2 linked regions of the Alligator mississippiensis genome follow. The protein of the gene in region 2 purifies or fractionates together with the protein of the main gene of each other region. This does not show direct contact. Links are inferred from orthologs where the notes say so. Each region holds a gene or a part of one and is shown on either strand. Other genes may lie near its edges.

Region 1 (7,118 bases), on a different chromosome or scaffold from region 2:
AGAGGTGAGAAATTATTTGGTGTCTCTAAAGATCTGAGGATTTTAGCTGTTGGATTTTTAAATAGACACATGCAGAATGGGCAAGGGTTTGTTTCTGCTTCACAGTCGCCTTGTCACTGAGAACTATCCTTAAAATCCTGAGCAAGACAATGATACCCAAAATTGTTCATCTCTTGAAAATGTATCTGATCATGATCATATATGTTAGAGCTGCTCATGCCCCTGTAATTTCTTGTTGATAGTCATCAATTCTGAATGAAAACTGATTTTAAAGTAGCTTTAAAAAGAATGGTCTAACCTAGGACTCGAATATCAGGGCCTGCGAATGCATGATTTGCTCTTGAGGATAAATCATTGTGTTCTTCAACAGCTGCTTAACTTGGCAGAATAAGACTAGCATAGTCTTGAACTCCTCTCCCCACAGCTAGATTGCTACGGTACCTGGTAGATGTGTTGTAGCTGACTTAAAGTATCCTTGGGTACTTAAAGACGCTGCCGTACAGAGGTTTTTAAAGCCACCTAGAGACCAGCGTCTTGACTAATCAGAAAGATTTCAGTAGTGCATAGCACAAAAGCAAATCCAATAGCTATCAAGCGAGTCAGCCTAGCAGCAAGGGAACACTTTTCCAGCGGTACAAGGATTATAATGGGGAGAAATATATATATATATTTTTTTTCTTTTTTTTTTTTCCTCCAATGCGCAGATATATAATATGCATGCATGGAGAAAAGAAAATCAAAATAAATGAAACTTGTAGCCTGCTCCAAAACTCCAGGTTCTCAAACTGCATTTGGAGACCTCCCAGGTGATCCATTTTGCTGACTCTGAAGCATCACCAGTCTTCAAGCACTGGCACTAACTCTGTCCAGGTCTGAATTCAGCCATTAGAGTTTATGGAGGCTTTTTTTTTTTTTTTTTTTGGACTGAGCTCACTGGCCATCTCCTCTCCATTCTTGAGTCAGCATTTTTTTGGGGAAAAGCTCAGTTGTGATCAAACCAGGAGGAATCGCCAAAATGGGAAAGGTTTCTGTTGATTTAGTGCTCTTGCTACAAGCTGAAGTGTGATCAGAATTAAAGTATATTGGGGAGGAGATGAGCTACCATCAATTTGAAGCCCTGCATGGAGGTAGGGGAAGCTAACCTTCTAGGCAAGAGGGATGCAGAGAACATGACCAATATACCAAGTGATAGAAATTATCTGCAGTGAAGATGTAGGACTCCAGCAAGGTTTTCCCATCAAAAGCCTTGGAGTGGGGTCGCAACAGGACCACTGACCCTCTTAAAGGCACTCGCTACGGGATTTTGGTAGACTTCACATGGAAGGAGGATTCGCTTGTCTTCATAAACCCCCTTGTGGATGTTGTCACTGAGGGTAAGTTAATTTTAATGGCTTTGTTGATGGCAGTCACTTATTTCCTTTTTTAATCTATTGGTATATTTTGTATATATGTGTCTTTTAATATACATGTATTTTTATTTTTACTTGGTCTCCATGCACAGTACAGTAGGGCAGAGAAGCAAGGGTAATAGACAATGGAAAGCAAACACAGGGCGCAGCAGTGCAAAGAACCACGCTGAAAGGGAAAACCAGTCCAACCGCAATCACGCAGCACTTAATGAAGTGCTGACAAGAGACTTCATGTTTATTTGCAAAACTGCAGCTCAACTATTGAACGCTGCCCCAAAGCTGTTAAATAAAATGTATCCCCATGTTGGGGTGCTCAGATTGGATCTCCTGGCAGGAAATCTATCAGGATTTATACAGTAACCTGAAATTGTATGTGGTTAGAATAATCTAGCATGCAAAAACATGAGGTAAAATGGCTAGTATTGGATAATCCTCGTGTGCCAGATTCCATCCAAGTGCATCTGACCCTTTATTTATCTCGCGTGCCTCGACTTTAAAATGACACCAGTATACACACAAATTGGACAGTCTTTTCTAGCTCCAGCTAACTGGAAAGGTCCAGAACATGCCTGGTCAGGAACCTAAAAGTCCCTCGACTGCAATTTGTATTGTAGCGAGATGAGGCCTTAACGCTACAGTCCTGTACGTAAGGCAGGGCTGGACACAGGAATGGGTAAACCGGGGGCTGGACAGAAAGGGGATCCAAAAATGGTAATTTAAAAATTATTATTATTATAATATCATCTCTGGCAAAGGGGGGGGCCTGATACTAAAAGTCTGCCCGGGGCTGCCAGGAGCCTAGGTGCAGTGCTGCCTTCCGGCAGCGTCCTGAAGAGTTTAGCCAGCTGTAGGCCTACTTGTTTCTTTATTTAAAAGTGCATGGTTCGACTAACGTTCAAGAGGCTTTCTAATAGCAGGCAGCGGGTGGCTGTACGTAGCGTAGTGGGTGCAGACGGACCGAGTTCTTCCACAGAATTGTTTAATTTTGTGGTAAACGTTGCTAAAAAACCTTTGTCAGCGGTAACTTTATCTCCTTCCAAGCTGCACGAATGCTGTCCCTGGCTTTCGATTTTTGTGGCCAAGAAATGACTAGCTGGGCATAAAATGGACTAAAGGGGAGAATTCAAGTGGAGTTTCTTGAAACGTTGGCTCCGCACGCTGCGAGCGTTTCCAATTAAAGAATTCCTGCTCCGGTGTCCATTTCGGCTGGCATTTCCTGTCCTCCAGCCAGTAATGTGTCACCACATCATTATTCAGGCCTGCAAGGTAAAACAAAGCAAGAAACTTAGGAGCCAAATGTACGAGGTGGGGGGGGGGGGAGAAGCTAATTTTAAGAAGCTATTAAATGTTGGCGTGTTCCTTGCGTGCTACCACCCACAGCTCCCCTAACCCTACGGGAAAGCAACCGCTTTGCGAGCAAGGTGTATAAATAATGCCTGCCTCGTGGCATAATTCCTCTTTATTAGACTCGAATCCTGGGGGATCACGAGTCTCGACGAACGCCGCCGGACTTCTCGCGGGTTTGGCTATCCGTCCACTCGGCGGCAGTCCGGCAACTACACGAGCTCACGCTAATTACGGACGCTGACTCCTTAAAAATTATTTAAGCGGGACAGCCCCAATTTTTTTTCTCGTACGTATGAATTAGCCGCGCTCGGAGAGAACTAGTAACCAAAGTCAGTGCAACCAGTGCCACCAATGCATCCAGCCTGAGACCACGAGTTAAAAACGCCAGGCTTATCATCGGACGTAGCGAGGATGCTGACGACGATGATGATGATGTTTGTTTTGAGGTGAATTGGCCTGTCAGGCTCTACAGCAAGATTAAACACTGCTTAAAAATAATAGCCCTGGGGAACGTGAGCCCTGAAAGCTGGCGATCCAGGACGATAATCCCCGCTGAGCCGGTTTGGCTTTCAGCTGGAACCGGAGGTATTTGGTGACCGAGCGCCGCAGCCGGTGTCCGACACCAGAACCGGGACAAGCCCGCGCCCGTCCCCGCCAAGGGCTGCGAGGCGAGGCGAGGCGAGGCGGGCGAGTGATGGAGGCCGCTCTCCGGTGGCAAAAGGGGCAACTTTTGCCCCAGACGACGGGGCAGAGACGCGCGCTGATGTCCGAGGTGTTTGTGAGTGACTCGCGCCCCGGCCCCGGCCCCGAGGGGGAAGCCGGGCCCCGTGCTTCGTGCTTCACGGGTGGGTGGGCCGCGGGGAGCCTCGTGGGCCGCGTCCGGGCCCGTGCGTGCGCGGAGCCTGGCGCGCATGTGGGGGAGGCCTGTGCCTGAGGGGCGCGGCGCCGGGGGCGGCGTGCGGCCTAGCCGGGCCCAGCGGCTCCCCCGCGGGCGGGCGGGCAGCCGGGCCGGGCCAAGCCTCGCGGGAGCCCCCGGCTCCTCCCCGCGCCTCACGCGGCCGCCTCACCGCCCGGACCCTTCCGACTCGCCCCAAAGAGTCCGGCCGGCGCCCCCCGCCCGCCTGCCTCTCCCCCGGGCGGGCGCGCTGCCTGCCCCGCGAGCCCCTCGCTCGCTCGCTCGCTCGCTCCGTGGAGCCGGGCCGGGCGCGGGCGGGGCTGCGCTCGGCGAGGCGAGGCGAGGCGGGGCCGGGCCAGGCGGGCGGCCGCAGCGTGCCGCGTCCCCTCCCCCGCGGATCCCTCCGCCCCGCGCCGCCCGCCGCCCGCCCGCCCGCGAGCCCGCCCGCCTGGCCCCGGCTCCGGCTCCGAGTCGCGCTGTGGCAGCGAGCGGCCGAGGCGGCGGCAGGAGCGGCGCGGCCATGTCCCTCAAGCAGCAGCAGCAGCAGCAGGCGGCGGCGCAGGCCCCCGGCGGTGCCCGCAAACCCCCCGGCGGCGGCAGCGGCGGCGGTGGAAGCGGCGGCCCCGGCTCCGGCTCCGGCTCCGGCTCCGGCCTGCCGGCGGCGGCGACACCAGGCGGCGGGCGGCAGAGCGCGGGCAGGTGGGTGCGCTGCAGCGCGGCGGCGAGAGGCCATTTTCCCGGGCAGGGCCGGGCCGGGCCGGGCCGGGCCGGGCCTGCCTCGCCTCTGCCTCTGCCTCCGCCGGGGCCATGTTGCGAGCGGGGCGCCTCGGGCCCGGCCTAGGCCGCGCGGCCTCCCCCCGCGCCCCGCGCCGAGGTGAAGCTGAAGGACGGGCCGGGCAGCGCGGCGTCTCCCCGCCGCTCCTCTGCCGGCTTATCCCCCCCATAGCCGCGGGGGCTCCCGCAGCGGGGGCAGGCGTCGTCTCCCACCCCGCGCCGCAGCCCGGCCCCGGTGCTGGGGTTGCGGCCCCGCCGCCGCCGCGGAGGACGGGCACCTGCTCCTTTCACTTAGGGGCGGGCACGGCCCCTCCATCCGTGCTAGCCGGCCGGCCGGCCGGCTCCTGACGTTTCTGCGGCGATTCGGTGCGAGTATCTCGTGGGGTTGGGTTGGGTTGGGTTGGGGGCGTTCCCGCCTGGACCTATTTATTAGATGGTTCCCTTTTAAAAAGGGGCAAAATCCAGGTGCATGAGAAGTAGATGGTCCCTCCTTGACACCAGACACAACCCAGGTGCGTGAGGAGCAGATGGTCCCTCCTCGACGAGCAGGGCGGCGTTCGAAACGCTTCGCCGTGTTTCGGGGCGCGCGCCCGCGGGACGTGGTGCCGGTCTCTTCCCTGCGATGTAAGCGGCGCGAGGAACAAGCGCGCGGCCCCCGTGGCCAAACGTGACCGGCGGCGGGCGGCTAGTCCGCGTCCTCCTCATATCTTCAGCAGATCTTCGTACCCGGCGCGGTTTTATCGACGTGTAGGCAGGACGGGTGACCCGCGAACAGGCACCGTGCGAAGGGACGCGTGGTTATTTCTCCGCGTTTCTCCCAGCGGGTTTTTTTGGCGTTTGTTGACACGTTCCCCCTCCAGCTGGGACCTGTTTTGAGGTGCCTACAAGTAGAGCCGCTGGCGTGGCGCAAACTCCCCATTTTTAATCTTTTTTTGCTGTCGTAGTACTTGGGGTCGGGAGGAACCGAAACAGATCATCAGTCCGACCCCCTGTTTCTGGACTGTCTGTGTAACTGGGCCCAGTAGTCTTTATTAAAAAGGAAACGCGGTGAAAGTACTTGTAAAAATAAATGAATAAAATAATAATAATAGTTCTCACCAATAAAGAGAGAGAAGCTGAAACATATTCACAGATGTTAGATTTCACAGACGTTGGGGCTGGAAGAGGCCTTACAAGATCACCGGGTCCCAGTGAATTCGGGGTTTTCCAGCTTGCTTCTCGCGGTTCAGGCAGAGTCTCTGCATTTGCCCTTTCCGCGGCGAAAACTGGGTAGTCGATCTTGCTTTTCTCCAGTCTCCTGTAAAAGGAGAGCAAGATGGAAGATGGCTGTCCCACCTGGATGCAGCTGGTCAGGAGTATTGGGCATGACCTCTCCCAGGTCCTGCGGAGGAGATGGCCGCTTTAGAAATGAAACCCACTTGCGGAGAAAATCAGAAAGCTAAACCATCCCTTTATCCCGATGAGCCAATGTGCACAAGCGTGTGTGGGAAGCAACTTCCAGTGACCACTAGACTCCACCTTTGTTACAGTAACTACTTCACAAGACATCAAGGGAACTATTCATACTTCTGTTTTCATTTGAAACCCCCCATATGCTGCACATTGCATCAGTAGCTACTTCTCATAGTTTCACAGCTGTCAGGGGCTGGAAGGGACCTCGCAGATCATCGGGTCCAGCCCCTGCTCTAGGCAGGAAGACCACTGGGGTCAAGTGACCCCAGCGAGGTGGCTGGCCAGTCTCCACTTCCATAGATTTCATAGACATTAGGGCTGGAAGGGACCTTGGAAGATCTTCAAGTACAGCCCCCAGCCCCTTTAGGGAAGGGTAAGAAGGCCTTTGCTCAGAGGACCTGTTTAGTGAATTTTGTCCTACCCCTGATTTTAGTACCTTTCCCAATGTCACCCTTTCTCTGCCTCACTTCTTCCCGATCTCTAAGACCCGAATTATTTCCGTGCTTCCACTTCTCAAGGCTGCTTCAAGGTTTAACTCGATTTTTAAAGTATGGTGCATTCCTCTGAGAAGAAGAGAATTGCACATGTAAAAGAGTTAGCAGGGATACAGGGTCTCGGAGGCCCAAGTTAGTAATAAACCACAAATATGAAATGGCACAGAATTTTCTGAGTAGCCCCAAATTAAATTAAAGTAACAATGTTAAATTATCGGACAAATAAATGGGTAACTTGTAGGTCATTTTAAATAGCGACTAATGCTCATAGATAGTGATTAGTATGGTGTTGCTTGCATACTTTCTCGTAAGCTTTTTAATCAACAGCATGAGCCCCTGACCTGTAGTAATTATGAGGAAGGCGCGTCGATGCCTGTTATAGCAGCTGTCAGAGAATGTGTACTGTAAATCTGACCTGGTGTTCTCTCTTCTCCATATACATGGAAGGGGTGCTAAAAGAGGACTAGCTCTTGACATTATTAATGTATTTGTAGAAAGTCTAATGAAAAGCCTCTCCCTCTTTTTGAGGGGGGAGGCTTTAATTTTGCACCTGCAATATGTGTGTATTTTTATGAAGGCAGTCTCATTTTGTAAAATACTGAATTGAAATGATGTAGGTAGGCTTTCACAGAGGCTCTGAGTGGATGCAGGCCCCAACTGAGAACCTGAAAAAGTACAGTTGTCTAAGGTATTTATCAAACAAAAGAAACTGGTTTGCAGTTTCTGGGTGATTATTTTGCACAGAAA
Region 2 (7,184 bases):
GCATGCCCAAGCAATATAAGAATATATTCCTCCCTAGTCAACTGTCCAAGCTTCCACTTCTTTTAAGCTTCCTTTTTGTGTTTAAGCTCACTGAAGAGTTCTCTGCTAAGCCAAGCTGAGCTTCTCTGCAATCACACTGATGGCTCCCCTCCCTCTGTTCCTGGCACTGATCAGCAGCAGATACTTCAAGGAGAAATCCCAGGGTAGAAAACTACAAACTAACTGCACCATTTTCTTCCTCACTCTCATCAGCCAGAGTTTGCCCCAATCTCCGATGCTTGAGAGGTAACAGCCCTTGTAATTTTTTAATCTAATATAACAGGGGATGTTCTGCTGTGAATTCTCTTGTTCTCCAGGTACCTTGTGGCAGTGAGTTCCACACTTAAGTATGCACAGTATGAAAAACAATTTCCTTTCTTCTGTTTCAAATGCCTTTTACTTCCTTCATGCAGGGAGATTAGAAGTGATCTGTGTAAAGGGGGAGCTGATCTGTTCCTCACCCCCCTATTCCTGGGCATAGTCTGGAGTAAAATAGACTCAGCCTTTAAGATGAGACACAAATCCAAGTCAGTTATGTCAATGCAATAGAACAAGACCGTGATTTTGAGCAGTGAAATTACCCAAGACCACTGTCAGCTCAAATAGGACCGGATCTAGAAGGGGCCCCTTTCTCATGCAACAGCTCATGCATGCAAGCAGACACAGTTCTCTCTTGGTATATGATGAAACACATGGCCTTTGTACAGGGGAACCCTTCAGTCAGCTGGAGCCAGTTAGTGCCTTTGATTTTCCAGTGGGTGTCACAGGGCCTGGAGAAGTTAAATTTGTTGCCCCCTCAGAGATAACGGAGTCTGAACAAGGTGTGTTTGAATGCGAGTGGCAATGGAGCTCAATTTGCTCCCAAAATATGTCTTTGCCTGAGACTGCATGCATCCCTCCAGAGCCAGGTGTGGAGGGAGATGATGCTCACCTTCGCACCATGACCCTGCACGCTTTGCTCCTAAATTCTGGCTCCATGGGAGACTCTGTAGAGTGAGCTGGGGCCAAGGACAGAAATTCACCTTAGGCTATTTACTTATACTGTTTCTCATTCTGTGCTATGGGGCACCACCTTATGTATACATACATATATTTCCATATATATTTATTTATTTATTTCCAATAGCCAATTAAATTCCAAATCCAACTGAGAAAAGCTCAATAACTGTGCCTACTGGTATCCATTGCCAATATAACTTCAACCAGGCCAGTATCTAACGTCCTAGGCCTGCAGGCCTCGGAGTTCAGATGTTCCCTATATCCAGACTGGCATCCTACATGCAGTCCTAGGACTGGAAGTTCAGGTGCCCCTGTCACACTTGATTTTAGCCAAAAGGCTGAAAAGCAATTATGTGGTACCACTTTAATAGGGCTCTGGGGCAGCCATGATTGAGCTTGCTTCTAGAAGCACAGCTGGTGCATCGACAATGCTCTCCAGGGACCAGCAGGATCCAGGGGGCAACATGTCTTATACCGATTCCCCATGATCCATACGGAACTGATGGGATCCACAGAAACTTCCCCCCATACCTACTCCCATCTGTCTTCCCCACAAAGGAAGTGTCTGGTGAATGACATGGAGGTTTTTCTTTTATGGGGATTATTTTATCTGGGTGTCAATGGGACCCTCTCTTGCTAACTACCCTCTGCAATCAGCCAAGCACCTTACCTACTGATCACCAGGGATCCTGGTTTTCTCTGATTAAAAAAAATCCCCAATTTTCAGTTTAAAAAAAGTAACCACAAATCCACATTTTTCCATGATCAAAATGAAACCCCACTATATACATACCTATATATTAGTGACATTTCATTTAAATCATGGAAAAATGTGGATTTGGGATTACTTTTTTTTTTAACCGAAAATTGGGAATTTTTTTAAATCAGAGAAAACCAGGATCCCTGCTGATCACTAGCTTACCTACAATCTCTGCCACCAGTGCCTAGCTAACCTGGGTGTGTTTGAAAGATGAGGGCTACCATCTTTGTATGCATCCATCTATCCGGAGTTGCTACGTATTGGACACATCTACACATGTATATTAATGCATATCCCGGCAGATTTTATTGCTCCTGAGTGACTGTTTATACAAGTGCTCAGGACCTCAGCACATTGAGCCAAGTTGGAGCGGTCCCAGCTGGCAAGGGGCCTATGGCCTGGCACTGCTCTGACCCAGCTCGATGTGCTGCAGAAGGGCTGGCAGGGGCATAAGGGTGCTCCAGTACAGGGCTAACTGGCAGGCTACCTCTGGACTGAAGCAGTCTCATGCCCCAACCACCTGGGTCAGCATCCGCACATGCACTGTTATACATGAAAAAACTCCACAACAGGATAATACTTGTATTTATAAGTACTAACCAGCTGTGAAGCTTGTTAGTTTCCTGCAGCCTAATAAGGCCAAACGTGTAGATGCTGAGATGTGTACTGCAGAGCTAATTAGTCTACTCCCCAGTAAATGTCTTGGGTAGATGTACTCACAGAAGCTAAATTTAATCCTGGTTTGAGAAGCTCTTCAGTTTATTTCAGTGAGAAACTGAATCACTGGCCTGGATTTGTATTCCGTTCCCCTCCTTGCTTTGATCACACTCCACTGGTCACGTGATGATTTTGTCAGGAAGTTTGAAAGCGCTGCTGGGTAACATTCATTAAGAGCAACTGAAATAGCTGAAAGCATCATAAAATAGTGAGCTCCGTCTACAATATAGACAGTCTGATCTTTAGCTGATATGTCAGCAGAGCCCCTGGGTTTCAGTAAGCATCTACTGATGTGTACCAAATGATGACCAAATATTTAGCTGCCTGTCAGCTTAAGTCTGTGCAGACCAATTGCCTAAAAGCAGAAACAAAACAAAAGCAGTGGAAGGTAGTGATTGCATCTTGGATTCTTTCAGTGCCGCTCCGGTAAAATGAGTTCCGTCAGATGATGATATTTTGCTTTTCTGATTGCCAAGCACTTTGCAAACATTAACAAATTAAGCTTTGCAACACCCTCAGGAGACAGGAATTATTACACCTGGTTATGCAAGCAGATAAAGCAAGGCCTGGTGTGATGCAAGGACTTGTCCATATGGAGTCACTTGCAGTATCAGGGTCTGGAGGCAGACTCTTGTCTTTATGTGCTAGCCTGTGGTGCTTCCCAGATTCACAGCTGATGAAAGCAGCGTCCCCTTACTTCCTGAGAGTTGAAAACTGCTAAAGAACCAAGAGGGCTCGCCCACCCCTGCCCCATCACGTGCCTATGGGCTTAGGGAGGCCATGGGGTACGCATACCCCTCAGCGCTTTTACTCCTGGCCCTCAAGCATTTCCCCTGGTCCCAGCCGGCCGTTGGAAGGGCTGTTGCCTGTCCGACCTTTAGTGCAGAAGGGCTCTCGGCGGGTTTATCTAGGATTCAGCAGCTGCAACAGCCCAGAGAGGTTGCAAAGTGGCTCCTCCTTCCTGCAGCTGGGGTGGCGGGAGCACGGGCCAGACCACGCCGCTGTCCGTGAGGCGGGCGGCGGCATCGTCTTGCGCAAGGAGTTTAGACGTAGCGGGCGGCAGCGGGCGGTCGGGGATGACTGCGCTGTCCAGAGCACGGAGCTGCCCTGCGGGGAGGCGCGGGGGCCTGCCTGGCACGTCCTGCCGCCCCTCCGCGCCGCGCCGCGTCCCGGCTCCGGCCCGGACACCGCCCGCCCGGGGGACCGCGGAGCTGCCGCCTGCCCTGCGCCTGGCTCGTCGTGCGGGGGGCTCACGCCTGCCAGCATCCTGGGCCCGGACGCCCGCGGCTCGCGCGTGGGGCTGTTCTCGTTTTCTTATTAATACACGTAAAAACGTAAACACACGACAAGGTCCGTCATAACACGCGAAGACACGCCTTCCTCGAACAACAACGATCACGCCTGGTAAACGCATAAACAACTTATAAAAGACCGTCCCGCGCTGCGCACGTGGCGCCACGACCGCAGCACAGACCCCGCCGGCTCCTCCGAGCGGACACGGCGCCTTTAAGGGCGGGGGCGTGTCCCGGTCGCCGCGCCCCTCGGCCTCTTAAAGGGGCCGCACTGCTACCGCCGCCGGCTCGGGGTCGGGTCGGGCTGCGGCTGGGGCGGCGGTGCCGGCGTCTCGGGGCGGCCGCGACAGGCGGGGCCGGGCCGGGCGCTGCGCAGGGGAGCGGAGCGGCGGACCCCCCGTCTCCGTCCCCGCGCACATGATGTACACGCTCACGCGGGGCCCGAGCCGCCTGGCCACGCAGCGCCGGGCAGGTGAGCGCGGCCGGGACGGGAGGGGGTGGTCCGGGGCCGGACGGGGCGCGGACGGCAGCGCTGACCCGGCCGTGTCCGCAGGGCCCCCGCAGCAGGTGGACGGCAGCAAGCTGGGCGACGCGCGATGCCGGCCGCCGGGCGCGTGGCCGCCGCCGAGGTGAGTGCGGGCGGGGGCGGGACTGACCTTGTGCAGAGGTGACGGCTCGTCCTTGCCGCGGCCCCGCGCGGGGGCTGCGGGCGGTGACCCGGGGCACCGCGGCGCCCTCTGCCCCGGGGACCCGCCCGCGGAGGGGGTGAGGCCGGGCACGTGGCCCCGGCCGGGCGCTCCCACGTGCGCTGCCCGAACCCGCGCGGCGGGGCGGCCCTGGCCCTGGCCCTGGCCCGTCCCGGGCTGAGCCGGGCCCCGCCCCCACCACGGGCAGGGGCCCTGAGCCGCAGCCCCGCGGGCGCCCCCGCGCCGGCCGCCCGGCAGATAAGGCCTGGGCCTCGCCTGGGCTCTGGAGATAAGAGCGGCCCGGGCCAGGCTGCGCCCGCGCCCCTCGGCCTCGCGGCGGGCACCGGGGCCGCGGGGAGCCCCGCACCTCCGCCGCCCGCTGCCCCGCGCCGGCTGCCAGCCCGTGCCAGGGGGCAGGGAAGGCTGCAGGCGCAGGAGGTGGTGGGCAGGCAGCAGGTGCAGCTCTTGAGCGTGGGAAGTAAAGGGAATTGAGGTAACAGCAGTCCTGCCAGGCCCCAGCCCCATCTCCGCTCCTGTGCCTAGACTTGGGTGCCAGCTCTGGGCCGCCCTTGTAGCCCGAGATGCTCGGCTGCCCAGATCTGCAGTCAGATGGTTGTGAAGCTTCCAGGGGGCCGGGGTCTGCGAGGGCACAAGGGTGCAGCTGTGGGGAGCTGACTCCCTGCAGGACAAGGTCAAACTGTGAACTCCAGCTCTGCTCCCTCCTCCATACCTGGGATGCTCACCCACGTGGTCTCAGGCAGGCGAATGTACATACCTTTCATCTAGGAAGTTGCCTGCTGTGAGCAGTGCAAAGTGGGACTAAAGTGCTCTTATTTCCCTCTGACCTCACTGCACCTGGAGCACTTGGCATCCCTGAGACTCGTCCACCAGGACCTTTTTCCTCCCAGTATCTGCAGCTTTTGTCCCTATATCACAGCACTCTATTCCACAGGGTGAGAATACAATGAGAAAACTGTAGGAGCTAAGTGCTTGGAAGTCAGGAAATTGCAACATCAGTGCTGCACCCACAGGTTTACCTCTGGCCTACTGGAAACCTGTGTAACTGTACAGCTGTCTGAGTACAGGTTCACACTTCTCAAACAGCAAGTGGTCAAAAGCATGCAGTATTCCACTTTTACAGTGGTTCTGCTGTGGGATAAAGCCGAATTGACACGTAGCTATCCGTTAAGGTTACTGTAGAAGTTGCTCAGAGAGAACCTCCCAATTAAAGGTAGATTTCTGGTTACTGGATCTGACTCTTCTAGTTTGTATAATCCAGATAACTTTGTTACATCCTGCATATGCAGTTTATCCTCTGCACATCCTCCTTCTCCCCCATACATGCTATATACTAATCTATAGTCTTGCAATGAAGTCTGTTCCTCTGCTAATCAGATTTTGTGGGACAAGCTACACTTCCATGGGTGGATATACAAGCTAGGACACCTGCTGTCCCCTGCGATGTGACGTCTTCAAGGAGCTTACAAACATTTCCCTGGTGTGGGACATGACTTCCTAGATGAAACATCTGGAGGAAATTCTGCTCATGACCATCTACTTTCTTCTCTATCTCCTTATTTGCAACTTCAGAACATCCCTATGGCAAATACTTTTTTTTTTTTTTAAACATGTAAACTTGGAGAACACACATAGATATAGTGGTCTTTTTAATGGTATGTAGTGGCTGCAAACAGGGAAGAGGCGCTATTATGATCAGCCATCCTTCCACAAGCTACCAGTGGTTCTCCAAGCAGAGTTTGGGAGCAACTGGTCTATGTGTTTCTATTCTTTCACTGTCATTCACTGATATAATCTAGGTAACTGTTTTAGCTCTGATTGTTCTTCAGGTTGGATTTTTCTTTCTCTCTGCAGCCTGCAAAAATGGGATGACAGTCTGAGCTACAGCAGATGTTGAGCCCACCTATAATAATGAGGGTCCCTCTCTACAAGCTGCTGTGCCCCTCCTTGGCAGTGTCAAATGCTCTTGACAGCCACTGAAATCAACAGGTGTTAAGGCTACAGAGGCCTGTCTAAGGGTTGGCTACATAATTTTCCCTTTAGGGTCTAATCCCAAGCCCACTGGCATTGATGGAAAGGGCTGTAATAATCCTTTGTGCTCCTACAGACCTCTTCATTCAAGAACTTTGAAAGGCACCATAGAACTGGTGAACTCAGCCTTCCACTACCCTTGTCACACCAGAAACATGTGTTTGACATATGAACATCTTCTGTTGGCTGCCATCCTGCAGGCAGAGGCAAATCCTTGATCAGTTTGACAGGATTCTTGTTATCAACAATTGATTAGTTCTCAATTTCATCTGTCAGATACACCCACCTAGCTTCCATTTTCCCTGGTGCAGAGGGGTTGTCTTGGATATCACCTATTTCCCTTGGAGCTTCTTTAAATAGGCCCCAGCATTTCACTGTGACAGGCTGCTCCCAAAAGATTCTGCATTTGTGCCCTTTTTATTTTCTCCTCTTTATGGTGTAAAAACAAAAGCCTGAAAGTTCTTAATATTTCTTCAGAAACATCAGGCAGATCTGTTTGCAACTACCTGGCTTTTGTGGAGGCCTCCTTGAATAAAACATGGGTCAGAGTGTTCTTCAGCTCTTCACTGAAAAGGCTGGAAGGATTGAGCAGAGTTTAAAACTAGAAACAGAAGTGTAACTACCCTGAGCAAAAATTATATC

Evidence for each region. The genes of interacting proteins can lie anywhere in the genome.
Region 1: the proteins of MCRIP2 (region 2) and ATXN2 purify together in Homo sapiens (co-immunoprecipitation; 3 studies listed by BioGRID and IntAct, with this or other methods). This does not show direct contact. The link is inferred for Alligator mississippiensis from reciprocal best matches to the Homo sapiens genes MCRIP2 and ATXN2.

Annotation. Positions count from the first base shown.
Region 1 is NC_081833.1:3,641,551-3,648,668, reverse strand, and holds the start of ATXN2 (ataxin-2), read left to right. Parts: upstream 1-4,080; 5' UTR 4,081-4,171; coding exon 4,172-4,350; intron 4,351-7,118. UniProt on the Homo sapiens protein: Involved in EGFR trafficking, acting as negative regulator of endocytic EGFR internalization at the plasma membrane.
Region 2 is NC_081836.1:27,208,636-27,215,819, forward strand, and holds the start of MCRIP2 (MAPK regulated corepressor interacting protein 2), read left to right. Parts: upstream 1-4,140; 5' UTR 4,141-4,224; coding exon 4,225-4,279; intron 4,280-4,360; coding exon 4,361-4,436; intron 4,437-7,184.